Linked DNA regions of Arabidopsis thaliana. The protein of the gene in region 2 purifies or fractionates together with the protein of the main gene of each other region. This does not show direct contact. Each region holds a gene or a part of one and is shown on either strand. Other genes may lie near its edges.

Region 1 (4,636 bases), 1.1 Mb from region 2:
TAGGTTCAAACTTAATACATAATTTATACGTTGTACAAATGGTTTGTTTGAATCTCAACTTTACATACCACAAAGTATGAAAACAAGATTTGTGATGGACTCTAAACCATAAAAATCTATAGGGACCAACGTACGTAGGCCCAATTAGTTTGGACTCTAAAGCTGTATGAGCCCAAAACGTTTTGTAAGCAAGTATATAAATGTGTGTAATTAGAGACATAAGCAATGAATGCAGTGACATAAAGAGTAGACCCATGTAGTGAAGCAGCGACAGGTCCTGAGGTTAACACTCACCGCAAAATGCTTTACAGAGTCTCACATGCAATGCCTCTGCCCATTTATTTATTACCCCCACAACGCTTTCTTTTTAATGTTTCATTTAATTCTTCTTCATGTGATTGTGATTTGAATTTTTCCATATTATGTGTATTTGGCTCTAGAATAAATGTTCTTAAACAAACCCAACTAAATGCATTCCTAGTCTATAGTTATATGTATATCGTATAAAATATGTAAGAAAAAACAAAAAATAGTTTACTCGATACATTAAATACGAACATATCCGTAGGTATTTCCATGTATATCCTATGTTCGGATATATTCCCAATATTGACTCTTGTCACAGTAAACATAATTGATTATCAAATATGTTCGTGTGTTATAGAGAAAATTTAATCGTCTATAAAACAGTTTATAGTAATCGTATACGTACACATATAACATATTACAAAAAACCAAACAATTGAATTAAAAATGATAGCAATCGTGTGACGAATGAAACTGGAAGTTTATATATTTTGTTAATCATCCCATAATTCAACTAAACGTAGCATACAATTTTAAATCTTTTTTTTATAAAATGCATAACCATAAATATAATAATGTCTCTAATGAAAAAACTCAAATTACATATAAAAATCAATTTTTCAAGCAAGCTCTTAAAGGTTTACCACAAAGACAGTCGTTAAACATAAACGACGCCGCTTCAAGATGATCAAACGGTGAACCTACCGGAATCCTCCCACAGAGATGGTTATGGCTAAGATCCAAATGACCAATAAACGACGCACCTGAGATCGATCTCGGTATTGGTCCTTTCAGATTATTATACGACAAATCAAGAACTGTGAAGTAAGACCTTGGTCCAAACCCTTCAGGTATCTTCCCTTGTAGCAAGTTCCGGCTCAAATTCAGATTCATCACCGACGACGTCATCAGAGTTTGAGGTATCTCGCCGGAGATTTTGTTTCCGTCGAGGTTAAGTGTGGCTAGTACCGACATACGTCCTAGAGACGGTGGGATTGTACCGTAGAGTTGGTTACCGGAGAGATCCACGTCAGCTAACCGGTAGATATTGGTTAATGATTCTGGGATCCGACCGGTTATTCGGTTACCGGATAATAACGCACGGCTGAGCATTTTTAATCTTCCGACGTCCGACGGGATTACACCGGAGATTAAGTTGTTACGGAGATCTAAATGCATTAAGCTAGAGAGATTGGTTAATGATTTTGGAATTGAACCGGAGATTCGGTTATCGGCTACGTTTAAAACAGCTAACCGGTTTAATCTTCCGATGTCGTATGGAATCCCACCGGAGATTTGGTTTCCGATTAAGTCGAGTGTACGGAGAAAAGGAAGACGAGTGATACATTTAGGGATTTCGCCGGAGATACCTTTCCAATCGGCGATTGTAATGGCGGAGAGACGAGTGAGCTCACATATCGAGGCGGAGATGTGTCCGGTCATGTAACCGGTTCGGTGAGCTCGTTCGAAGATTGGATCTTCTGACTCGCCGCGGAGATTTATGTCGGCGACTCGGTGAGTGAGCGAGTCGCAGCTAATACCGTACCAGTTGTGGCAACAGTCTTGGCCTGTCCATGAGTTGAAAATGCCGAGGTAAGGCTCGTGAAGAGCTGATCGGAAAGCTAGAAGTGCACGGCGGTCTGACGGCGGACAACACGTGGCGGATGAGATTAGAAGGAGTAGGAGTAAAACGACGACGTTGAGATTCATTGTTTGAAGATTCTTTTTGAGTGACAGTGTTGGGAATTGGGACTTGATGGGTGAGGGAAGAAGATAGACGTTAATGGCATATAAATAGAGGATATTAAATAAAAGAGGGAATTTTTAAAAATATATTAATAAAAAAAGGACAATACTTTGCTTTATTTTTTTTTTTACGTGAAATTGTTAAAATAATAATTCGATATGGGTAAGATTAGACACTTTGGCCTCGTTCAATAATGAAGCTTGTGTTCGTGTAATCTTGATTAATCAAGAAATTCTACATCAAATTAGTCAACAACAAATGTCAAATTCATGTTAGATATCTTAAACACAAAAAAACGAGAACGTAAGAAATTGGTAATAACTTTTAACATGTGGGTTTGTTGTTTGAGTAACATGTGATTGTGTGGTTTGTAATAACTAGTTGTAGCAATAATATGGCCACAAAAATGAAGAAACATACACATGGATTTATAGTGTTGAGCACATTCATTAGATGGTAATAGAAAAGGTTGCAGACAAATTAAGATAGAGACAGGAACTGAAAGTGGGGGAGAGTTCCCATGCAAATAATTGAAGCTACGATTAGATTTTCCGATGCGACTTGCCGGTTGGATAAGCTTGTTGCTTACTACAATCATATCACAGGGTCAACATGACGCCACGTGGTTATGTTCTTGCATTTTAATCCTTTTTCTAATCATGTTATGAGATGACGATACACATCTTCGAGTCGCAAATAGTTGTGGTTCCGTAACTTATGTTGACTATGGGCCTGGTTTAAACGCAGCGGGTACGATTGCGGTTGCGGGAATTTGCGGAAACGGGCGGTTGCGGTTTCAAACGTTATCAAGTGTTTTGAACGACTGGTTGAGCGTTTGGTAATGAGTGCGTTTGCGGGAGTTTTATGACTGGTAAACCAGCGGGTGCGATAGTAATTAAATAAAAAATAACCAAAATAAATATAATATATTACTATTAAAAGAAAAAAAATACAATATATTATTATGATAAATTGATAATATTTGAAAAATTAAACATACTTAATAATTAAAACCATAAATAAAACTAAAAATTCAAAAATAAATAAATTTTGTAAGAAAAAGTTTAATACTTTATGCATTTGGTACATCACCAAAAATTGCATCAAGTAGTGTGATAAACTGTAAATAACGTTGAACTCGCGGGTTTTCCGGATTGCCTCTATACATATGATAAAGTTTCTTCAAGATATCCAAACGATTTTTAACACATCTCCAACTCAAATTTTTTCCAAACGTTAATATTCTTAAGAATATTTTCTTTTTGAACATCACTTAGAAATCTGATTTTGGGGTCTTTGGATTCTTCCGTTTATTTCTCCACAATAACCCGTTGAAGTAACGCAAATGTGGTCTCGTTTGACCAAATGATTTTCTAATCGAGAAAACAAATCAAAACATGTATTCAATCAAAAAACTCAAAAAAAAACAAAATAAAAAAAAACAACGATGCCATGAAATATTCCGAGAATTACACTAGCTAATGAATGGATGAAAGGATAGATCATACTTACGTTTGATTCTTGATTTTGACTTTGATTTTTGTCAGTTTGGGTGGATGCCATAATTGAGAGAATAGGGTTTCATTGATTAGGGTTTTCTGATAAGAATAAGTATAAGGTTTGGGTGGAAGACATAATTATTTTAATTAATTAATTAATTTTTTTTTAACCTAACCGCTACCGCCCGCAACCGCAAACGCTTGCGGGAAGGAGCTTTTGAAATCTGGTGATTTCAAGCGGTCCAAAGCGGTATCTAGCGGTTTCTATGATTGGTGCCAACCGCTAATAACCGCTACCACCCGCAAACGCTGCGTTTGCGGGTGGCAGAGGGAGAACCAATCAAGCCCTATATTAGCTTTTGATTCGGCTTCTAGTATCATGGCTTGGGCTAAGATTGGGCTTCAAAGCATATAGATAAATGGTTGTAAAAGCATTTACCGTTTATGATTTTTCACCGTCCGTGTCTCTAATTCAGCACCGACGGTTTCGTAATAAACGGCAGCCACATGAAACTACTGCTCACAGACAATAACTGTAAAACATGTTTTTGTCCTTAGCATTCCTAAAGGCGATTATGCGAGACATAGTAATGTCCAAAGTTTAATGCTAGTAGAGTTTTCAAAGTTTATAGGTGTTGGACTAGATCTTTTTTACCTGGAGGGGTACAATATGTCTTTTTTAAAACTATTTTCTCAAAGTTTTTGTATTTCGCATAAAATCTGTCGTCTACTATTTAATGTTACATCCCAAAGAACAAAAATCTTTGCGAGTTAAAAATCTCATCTTGGTGGATTTTGTTTCTTTAAACTTGATGGTTTTTTGGCTTGTCATGCGACAGCTCAGTTGCTGCGGGTATTACGTGTCAAGAAATTAATTATTGGTTTTGGCATGAGTATATTAATCACCCACGAACTCCAAAGCATTGGTTAGGTCGCAAGTTATATATAAAATGAATGATATCAACAAGATAAGTGCAATTACAATGACATAAGCCAACTAAAAGGAAGATACTAATTGAAGATTAGATTTTGATTAAACCATTTCTTACTTGAAACAAAGACAAACATTACCAATACCTAAAAA
Region 2 (5,629 bases):
ATCAGCCCAACGTCTAAGCTCGATGTGAAGGACAGGATCACCGATCTTGTTCCAGCTAGACCATTCATCTTCATCAGTATACAGAGTCACTTCTTGTGGGAGAGAGAGTTTATCGAGGAAATGTAGAGATGATTTCGTAACGACGGCTCTGACTTCTGCCCATTCGGTGAAGCAATGGCAGAGATTGCCGAATTTGATAGCAGCGACGCTTCCACTTGCAGCGAGTAGTACACGAGGCTTCCTCGGTGTGGTATTCACTTCCATGTCTTGTCTGTCTCTTTTCCCATTCTCCATAGCTCTTTTACACCTTCAGAGATCTAGCAAAGTAGCCAATGGTTCGGCGAAGAACCCTAACCGAAAAATTGATCTGGTCGAAGAGAATATCAAAATGTTTTAGAGGGAAGAGAAAGAGAGAGGCCCGAGAGGACAATCATTTTAGTTGCTGGTCAAATGGGCCATTGACTCACTCTTTTTTAGGCCTCGGTCGTATGGGCTGTGAATATCGATATATTTCATTTTATATTTACTTCGTTTGGACTGCAATTTCGATTCTGAGTTCGACTGTTGTGTTAACTCTAACATGTTTTCGAGTCAAAGTTATATAGCTTTTTGAGCCAACGTGAGATGGAAATGAAGATATTATTAGTAAGAAATTAAGTAAGAGTCGACCTGCTAAAACCGTTGGGTGGAAAATAGACACGAAAACATCTCCACAATGTGCAAAGCGGAAGCAGAGAGCAGAAGACAGATTGAAAAAAACAAAGGCACAGACGCAATAAGAGATTATTAAAGATGGAAGACTAGAAACATCGCTAATTTACAGCCACGTCTTATGGTTTGGTTAAAGACACACCGACAACAACACCATTAACGAGTCTACTATTTCTTCTTCTGCAGACAACAAAACCTAGAAAAATTAAAATTCCTTATAGATTTTTATATAATTTAAGATGCGATTCCAACACCTAAAACAACTAAAAAAAAACACTCCTAACGCCAAACACCAAGGCTATTATGTCTAGGTTGTTTTCTAGATCATTATTATTCTTCAGAACAGAGCTTCTTGCATTGCCTCTGCTTCTGTCTGGGTCTGTGTTTCTCCTTCTCTTTCTTGTCCTTCTTCTTGTCCTCCTTGTGTCTCAGCAGCTTCAGTTTGTTGAGCTTCAGTCTGTGGTGCTGCAGTCTCCTCTGGCTGCACTTCTTCCATAACTTGTGGCTCAACGGTCTCCGTCACTGTTAGTGCTTCCAGATCTTTTATGGCTTGCACCACTGCTTGATTCTCACTTGTAACTCCATCCTTCAACACCTTCACAATTTCTTTCACTTTCTCTTGCTGAAATCATTTACATACAAAAACCAAACATAAGCAAGTAGAATCGAATACTTTAATCAAATAAAGGACAGCCAAACTGTTTATTGTCAACAAGTAGACTTACAAAAATATCAAACTTCTTCTTGAGTTCTCCAGAATCTTGTGTCCCAGTCGTGACTGATGTTCCAATCTAGGTTCATGAACCAAAAAATAAAATTGTTGGATAAAAGTATAACATATTCAAGAAAGACATTAATGGTTAAATTAAGAAGTCTTACTTTAGATCCAATTGAACACGTTACTAGTAAAATAGAAGATACAGAGAAGAAGACACTATGTGATGACTTAGAAACCATTAAGCCGGATTAACACACTAATTGATGATAAAATTATTCCTAGCTATAGCGATACATTACCGACTATTTTGGTCTTAATTATCCAAACGAAAATTAAAATAAAACAGAGAAACCAGATAAGGATAAGCCAAAAGTAAGGGACACGAAAATATAATAAAAACACTAGATACTAGTCAGATTTTGGATACGCGAAAACAGACAACAATGCTCAAAAGCGGAAAGTGACATTGAGTTTGAATTCCACAATGATTGCAACACAAGTATCAAACTTTATCAATCTAAATTGACGGCGGAGCAGTGAACAATCATGCACAGTAAACGTCAGATATTGCAAAATCGAGATCACGAATACAGAATTGGGGGATGTGAAAATTTACCTTTCTGGGTCTACCTACAGGACGTCCTCGTCCTCTCTTAGGCTTCATAATAAGCCTACTGATAACACCACCAATCTTAGGTGGTCGTCCACGTCCACGCTTCATCCCTGGCGCAACCGCTGCCACATTTTCACCACCTACTGGAGCAACACTAACAATACTGCTAGGGTCAACAACTCTCCTAGGCCTTCCTCTGCGTCTAGCACCATTAGCAACATAAGGATACACAGAGGCAGTAGAAGAAACGGATTTGGGCTTCCTCTGTCTCCCAGCAGCTCGACGACCCGGTGGTCTACCTCTACGTTTCATAATTCCAGCCATAACCGAAGCTTGAACGATTGGTGCAGTAGCAGGAGCAGCAGAACCGTTCTTCCTTGGACGACCAGGTCCTCTCTTCGCCGACTCTGTAACCGGAGTCGGAACCGGAACAGGTGATTGAACTTGCTGCTGTTCCCAGATTGGCTGTCCGTTAGCCTGGACTTGATTGGTCGGTGGAAGTTGCTGTAGTGGTTGTGGTTGAGATTCAGGTTTAGGCTTAGGAGGACGACCACGACCTCGTTTCAGAGGCTGAGAAGCAGAGCCAGAAGCCATGGGATCGTTGTTACTTGAATGGAGAATCTCAGATCTGGGAACATCGAGACCTTGAGCGGCGGCAGCAGCAGCAACAGCTACACTAGCAGGAGGAGTAGAAGAACCAGCAATTTTGTAAGATTTCTTAACCATAGAAAGAACACCACTGGTCTTCAAAGTCTTGAGATGGTGAGTCAACAAAGCAGCATGAGCAGAAGTTAAACCGGTGTAACATCTCTCGATGTATCTCGAAATTGCCATCTTGCTCGAACCATCCGGTTCGTTTAACGCCGCAATCGCAGCGCAAATCATCTACACACAGAAAAAAAAAATTAGTAACAAAAAAAAAAGTAACTGAATTTAGTTATAAAGGAAGAGGCTTTTAAGATTGAACTTACTTCGGAGTAAGGAGGGTGGGGCATTGAAACATGTGGAGATAACTGAAACATCTGCGGTTGCGGGATTTGCGTTTGCGTTTGCGGCTGCGGTTGGAAGACGACATGGTTATTGTACGGATTTGGTCCTAAAGGATGATGATTGGAGGTGGGAAAATGAGGAAAAGGGGTGAACTGAGGAGGATGATGAGGATCACCAAGAGATGGATCCATGGATGTGAGATTTTTGCAGAGCAAAGAGAAGAGAAGATACAGTAAAAAAAAAAAAAAGAACAAAAAAAAAAAAGACAGAGGTGGAAGGTGAGATTTAGATTTAGGGTTTTTTTTTCTTTTTTTTTGTTTTTTGCTCTGAGAGCTCTTTTGATTTTTTTGTTTTTGTGAAAATAAAATTTTTGTGAGAGAAATAAATAAAGTTAGGTTGGGGAGAGAGAGGCGGAGGAGTAGAGACGAAAGGATGAGAAGAAAGATTACTATTAAATCTAACCGTTGATTTGTTTTCTATCGACGGTTTTGACGAGGATCGATGACGTGTCATATCATTTTGTCTTTTATTTTAAGGATTTTGTGTTTCTTTACTTTGATTTTTTTCATTTTTGCCTCTTAGAATTTTGCTACATTTTCGCTCCAATGTAATAAAAAATCACCAAAATTTTAAAAATGGACCGCCAAAATTTTAAATTATTTTTCTGAAAAGAACTCCTCGCTTTCAGTGTAAAACAATTTTGTTGATTTTAGAATAACATCGAATGAAGTATATAGCAAACACTGTTACATTAAGTAACCCATGTAACAAACTCCATTAAAGAGTGTATGATAAGTAAGAGATGTATTGAGATGAGTATGGCAAAACAAATGCAATTACTAACTTCTATGTCCTCTGTTTAGGATTTGAAATCGATACATTTACATAAAATTTAGTTTCAAATTTATATTTTCTGTGAATTTTGTTAGAGTATATATCTATTTGCGACCCTTTAACTTAATCACAAAATGATACATCAAATATGTTTTTCATTAAGGAAAAATTACAAGACATTAAAATATTTTTAAACAGTAATGTATGATATTTACATTTGAATTAAATTTTAACTTTAGTTGCATTTTAACAAAATATTTGATATATATATATATATATATCTATATATATATATATAAATGTACGACGTAAAACAAAAATAACAAATAAATGTAAACCTCTTATTATAGATGATGAAAGATAACTTTATGAAAAAAATAAAATATGGAAAAATATATTTACCAAGTGCTAAATACATTTTTCTTTTGTCTTGTATCACAAATAAGCGTGATATATTTAAAAGAATAATTGAAATATTAAATGATGAAAGATAAGTTTTAAAATTTTCAAAATATGGAAAAACATGCAATTAGTAAGTATTGATTGCAAATTTTAATTTGTTTTGTACAAAGAAGCGTTATTTATTTAAACATTATAATAAAAATGATAAATAGTGAACGATGAATTTAAGAAAATTTAAAATATGAAAAACTAGAATTTATAATTGTTTAATGCAAAATTTATAACAAACAAGCATTTTTAACGGGTAATGTAAAGGATACAAAGTGAGCGATAATTTTAAAGATATTTAGTGGTTTTACATATAGTTAATGTTTTTTTTTTTTTTTTAGAAGAACTTTTTTTTTCATTTGACATTTTAATATTGTTTAATGAACTTTTGTGTATTATATGTGTGGATTCAAAAGGGTAGTTGGATAGATTTCACCATTTGAATTTTGAAGTAGCAAATCTCAAATAAAATCAATGGGACTAAGAACAATTGATAAATCTATGGGGGAACAAGTGTCACACCTATCTCCTTGGTAAAGCCAGCCCATACATCACGGTACCCAAAAAGAATCATCCAACAAGAGAATTGTTGGTACATATTACTGACATTACAATACGATATTATAAAGAGTACAGTACGTTTATGCTTATGCATTAAGCGCAAGTAAAACCCGATATATGCTCATCATTCAAACTCCAAGTATCACCTGAGTCGTGTCGTTTTCATACAACAATTTATGTATGCTCATTCTTTTAATACTAATATATCTGTGTTGTGATGTGTGCATGCGTGTGCTCGAATACTTTCAAGCAAGGGTCAAACAAAGTGCGGCTGGTAATAGACGATCAGAAGACACAATCACCAGACACCAAGTAAGCAGATGACAAAAGACGATCACCACACCAGAATTCCAACAAAACAAAAGATTATGATATGTTTTGTCGCCTCTGATATGTCACACTACACAGTACACACAACCTCTTATAAACAACACTTTTAACGGGCCGAATTATCAGCCTTCAATATAATGTTTACTTATGTGATGGACCTCAACATTACATGGGCCTATCTGTTGCATAATTAACAGTTTTAAGACCCTTTTATTTTTCTCTCGAATTTGAAATGATTTGTTTATGTTTTTTATTTAAATGTTTTTGCATATTTGGTTGGGTCCTCTCGAGTCACACACGACCGGAGACGTGCATTAGAAGAGTTACAGAGCAGACATTTGCTGGCATCTTACAATTATCTCAAACATAACCTTCTTTTATTATTAGGCTATTGGCCCTACCCACCACCACCATTTTTATTT
Region 3 (4,802 bases), on a different chromosome or scaffold from region 2:
GATTTTAAAAGGATTTAAAAGATTTGCAAAGGTCTTTTAAAGATTTTTAAAGGGTTTAAAATTGTTTTAAAAGAATTTTAAAATATTTACAAGAGATTTTAAAAGGGTTTTACAATATTTATAAGGAATTTTAAAGGATTTTAAAAGATTTACAAAGAATTTGTAAAGATTTTTAAAGGGTTTAAAAGTGTTTTGAAAGATTTACAAGGGATTTTAAAACCCTTTTAAAATCTCTTGTAAATTTTTTAAAATCCTTTTAAAATCTCTTGTAAATCTTTTAAAACTCTTTTAAAATCTCTTATAAATCTTTTAAAACCCTTGTAAATCTATTTGCCGCCAAAAAATATTTACAAAGATTTTTAAAATCATTTTTTTAGCTGAGGAAAATTGTTACGAAAAAGTTTTTGGCAGGAATTGTTTTTTTTGGCGGGAAAAAAGTTTGGCGGAAATTTTTTTTTTGGCGGAAAATAAAAATTTTGGCGCCAAAAAATTGGCGGGAAAAGTTCAGTTTCCAATTACATGTTTCTATTAGATGAGGGTAATTTGGTCATTTTGTTCAAGGGAAAGGGTACTTTTAAAAATGGAAAACATAAAAGGGTATTGTTGCAAAAAAATAGTAAAAAATGGGTAGTTTTGCAAATCTCCAATCATATATATACTAAGCTTCAAACTAGTTTAGTTTTGATTTGTTTTCCGATCCTAAACTTGAATTAAGCTCATGATGTTGGGAGCCTATATAAATTATTAGAACGTGATATTCATGCATGGTGTATTCAAAGAATTACACATATATAAGAGAGACTAGGATAAAACTAATTACGTTTAGATAATACTAAATACTGAGGTATGTCAAGGATGCTCTAACATATTTGTTAGGTGGATCCAAATCCACTATGGTCGAAGCGGTGGGTAACCGACGCCAAATATTATATACTGTGCAGTTGTACAAAATGGATGAACGCTATATTCAGACAAATAAGTACTATAACAAAACAAGAAAGAACTCTTTAAGTACTTCAATTTTGAGCAAAGGAAAATTTCGAGAATAATGGTTTGTAGTAGCCCGGAGGGGAAACATTACCATTTTGGTCTAAACACTTCACAATAAACTTGAAAACAAAATAGCTAGACTAGCTAGAGATATATATGTTTAGTTTCATAATATGCATGTGACCTCATAATTAAACCTTATTTTGAAACTATAACTTATAAACAGATGAACTGGTCTTTCGATCTTTAACAAAAATAAAAATGAACTGGTCTTTCTTTTAACAAATTTCTGAATCTTGTGGGAACTCTATTGGATAATTGGATTCGTAAGCACAAATTGATCCACGACCACTACATTATACATATGCAGATATGTTAATGCTATAAGACCATCTCTTTTATTGTATGACTTTTGGAGATAACAGAAAAGGGAATCTTTTACAGATAAGAGTTTAGAGTAAAGAGAAAAGAAGCCTATTTGGTTGATTTTGATTCACTGATTAAAACAACACTTGTCTTTTTTATCTTTGCCTTCACGAGAATCATAACTACACTCACCGTCCTCGCCGATCAAAAGTCCTCGTGTGATAAGAAATTCATGTGGACAATTTTATTGCAGGTACGTATTTTTCATCAACTTATCCATAACGACACGTGTTGACCTTCTTACGTAGCTCTTCTGTATTTGATCGCCTTGGATTTGCTCTAAGACCTAATTTAATCACGCCACATGCAACAATTAACTACCAAGGGTCCCAAAAAAAGAAAGAAACACATACTACTCTATTTAATTTGATAATAAACAAATAAAGTCCGTTTAGTAGATTATGTTTTACATATAAAAACAATTAAAGTCCGTTTTGTTAATTATGTTTTACCTATAAAAAAAAAATTCACCAAAAAACATTAATCAAATCATATCCTAGTTGATCATTGGTGAGGTGACTGACAGGTCGTGGAATTCTGGCATCCTATCGTCGACAAATCTTAAACTAAAGTAACTCTTACTGTTACTTTTTAAATATGTCAAAGTAACCAATATCTTCTACGGAACTTATATCCAATTTGCATACTTTTACTCATACTATACAAAATACAAGCGGATATAAACAACAAAATAAGAAAACTACACTAATATCTATAGAAACTTCAAATTGAATTGAATATTATCGTGATATATATATATATATATATATCGCCGAATATTCCCTGGAAAATTAAATACAAAGACTATACTACTCTATTGGCTATAAATACACACACAAACCCAACAAAGCTATTTCATTATTCAAAAACCAATCACAAATAACAAAACGAAAATGAAGTTTTGGTCACGACCATTAACGTTTCTTATAATTATTATCTATCTCATAATTCAACAAGTCAACTCATCACCACCGTCATTATCTATACCGGAGCATTTTCTCCGATGCCTCGACACTCAACCATCCGACCACGGCAGTCCCAACTCAAGAACCGCCGTGATCCCAACAAACTCATCTTTCTCAACAAACCTAATGAACGGCGTCAGAAACCTCCGGTTCGCTTCTGTCTCCACAAGAAAACCAGAAGTTATCGTCGCCGCCGTCACCGAAACTCACATAAGAGCAACAATCTCTTGCTGCAAACTCCTAAACCTCGAGCTAAGAATCCGAAGCGGAGGCCACGACTACGAAGGCTTCTCCTACACTTCTCCGGTACCTTTCGTAATCTTAGACATGTACAACTTCAACAAAATCGATATCAACATGAAAGACGAAACCGTTTGGATCCAATCCGGAGCTTCACTAGGTCAGCTTTACTATAACATTGCAAGTAAAAGCAAAGTCCACGCTTTTCCCGCCGGAGTTTGTCCTAAAGTCGGCGCCGGAGGACATTTCAGCGGCGGAGGATTCGGTAACCTCATGAGAAAATACGGTTTATCCATTGATCATATAATCGACGCTCAAATCATGGACGCCAACGGTAAAGTGTACCGTAACCGTCAAGCTATGGGAGAAGACGTGTTTTGGGCTATTCGCGGCGGAGGCGGCGGAAGCTACGGAGTCATTCTTGCCTGGAAGATAAAACTCGTTAGGGTTCCGGAGAAAGTCACAGTTTTTAAACTAGAAAGAACGGTGAGAGAAGGAGCCGTTGATTTAGTTCATAAATGGCAACAAGTAGCTCCGGTTATCGACAGAGATTTGTTTATCCGGTTAGAGATTAAACCAATAAACCGGAAAATCTCAAAAGGTAAGACGATTAAAGTCTCCTTCATCGGAATGTTTCTTGGTTTACCTGAGAGACTTTTAAACATAACGAAACAGAGTTTCCCTGAGCTACATTTAACGAAAGAAGATTGTATGGTCAAGAAATGGATCGAATCTAGTGTTTTCTGGGCGAATTATCCAGAAAAAGCACCGATAGAGTTACTTCTCAAAAGAGTATCAACCAACGAATACTACTGGAAACGTACTTCAGATTTTGTTCAAGCACCAATCTCAAAACAGGGTCTTGCAAAGATTTTTCAAACAATGATTGATCATTCGCCACTTCCACGACGAGTTTGGATGCAATGGAATCCATGGGGAGGGAAAATGGCTGAGATAGCGTCTGATGCGACGGCGTTTGTGCATAGAGGTGGTAATGTTTTCATGATTGAGCATTTCATGAATTGGTATAGACCTGGAGATGAGCTTGAAGAGAAGTTCTTGGCGATTGCAAGAAGTTTTAAAGAAGCTATGGCTCCGTTTGTTTCCAAGAATCCGAGAGAAGCTTTCTTTAATTATAGAGATGTCGATATCGGAATTACTACGCCGGGGTATAATGCGACGTATGAAGGAGCTAAGGTTTATGGGGATAGTTATTTCAAAGGGAATTATTTGAGATTGGTTAAGATTAAAGCCCGGTTCGACCGGACTAATTTTTTCCGGTCTCAGCAAGGGATTCCGGTTCTTGCTTAGTTTGGTGATTGGTGAGTGTTTGAATTGATTGTATTGTTGTGTGGGAAGGAGTATACTATTAAGTTATTAAAAGTTGAAATTTGGGATCATATCCAATGAATCTATTGGGTATATATGTTCCTTAGTTGTTCTGGCATGGGCAGTTGATAATTTTGTGTTAAATAATGGTTTACTTCAATCTCCAAGAGAAGTTATGTGCTAAAATTTTTAATAATAAATGGATCGGAGTTGTATATCTCTAAGAGAATTCATTGATTATAATCAACAATATATGATTAGTTTTAGTTATAGCATAAATGAACAATATATGGTCTTTAATTTGCAAAGAATACTGATTGCAAAATCTTAAATAAATTTCATAATAAAAAATCAACCAGATTTTACGCGTCTTTTTAAACAAATATCATGTACTAATTTATCCGATGACAAACTATATTATATGATATCACTATATGTTTCTAAATCATAACCTAATATTATTTTATTTACAATTGGGGTCAAGTTTACCGCTAATTTAGTTATCTAGCAAAGAAGCCTAATAATTTTTGCATGAATCTATGCAACTTTTGTTTTTTTTTGTCAAAAACATAGTATGTCAGTATGACCGATGAGCGATGAACAAAATCATTGGGTCCATTGCAAAAAGTGTGTTTTTCAGAAATCTTGGCGCAGAGTCACAGATGAACACGTGATAGGATTTATATATTAAATGCTTGAACAGGACATGGTCGAGTTGCTTCCAATAATTGTAATGAGGTCACAGTTTTAACTATATGATATAGACTTTTCGACTGGTCGATCGGTCCAAACTGGTCCGACATTTTGGGATAGGGTTAGTTATAATTGTTAGTTCAATATTTTACACGTGGG

Evidence for each region. The genes of interacting proteins can lie anywhere in the genome.
Region 1: the proteins of HON4 (region 2) and AT3G20820 fractionate together in Arabidopsis thaliana (co-fractionation; one large-scale study listed by BioGRID). This does not show direct contact.
Region 3: the proteins of HON4 (region 2) and AT2G34810 fractionate together in Arabidopsis thaliana (co-fractionation; one large-scale study listed by BioGRID). This does not show direct contact.

Annotation. Positions count from the first base shown.
Region 1 is NC_003074.8:7,278,310-7,282,945, reverse strand, and holds AT3G20820 (Leucine-rich repeat (LRR) family protein), read right to left. Parts: upstream 2,155-4,636; 5' UTR 2,017-2,154; coding exon 919-2,016; 3' UTR 569-918; downstream 1-568.
Region 2 is NC_003074.8:6,168,336-6,173,964, forward strand, and holds HON4 (winged-helix DNA-binding transcription factor family protein), read right to left. Parts: upstream 3,671-5,629; 5' UTR 3,224-3,670; coding exon 3,014-3,223; intron 2,928-3,013; coding exon 2,046-2,927; coding exon of another isoform or gene 1,974-2,045; exon of another isoform or gene 1,591-1,973; intron 1,503-1,590; coding exon 1,437-1,502; intron 1,334-1,436; coding exon 1,049-1,333; 3' UTR 628-1,048; downstream 1-627. Other genes in the region: HAL3A (HAL3-like protein A), read right to left, coding at 1-294.
Region 3 is NC_003071.7:14,682,983-14,687,784, forward strand, and holds AT2G34810 (FAD-binding Berberine family protein), read left to right. Parts: upstream 1-2,187; 5' UTR 2,188-2,309; coding exon 2,310-3,932; 3' UTR 3,933-4,234; downstream 4,235-4,802.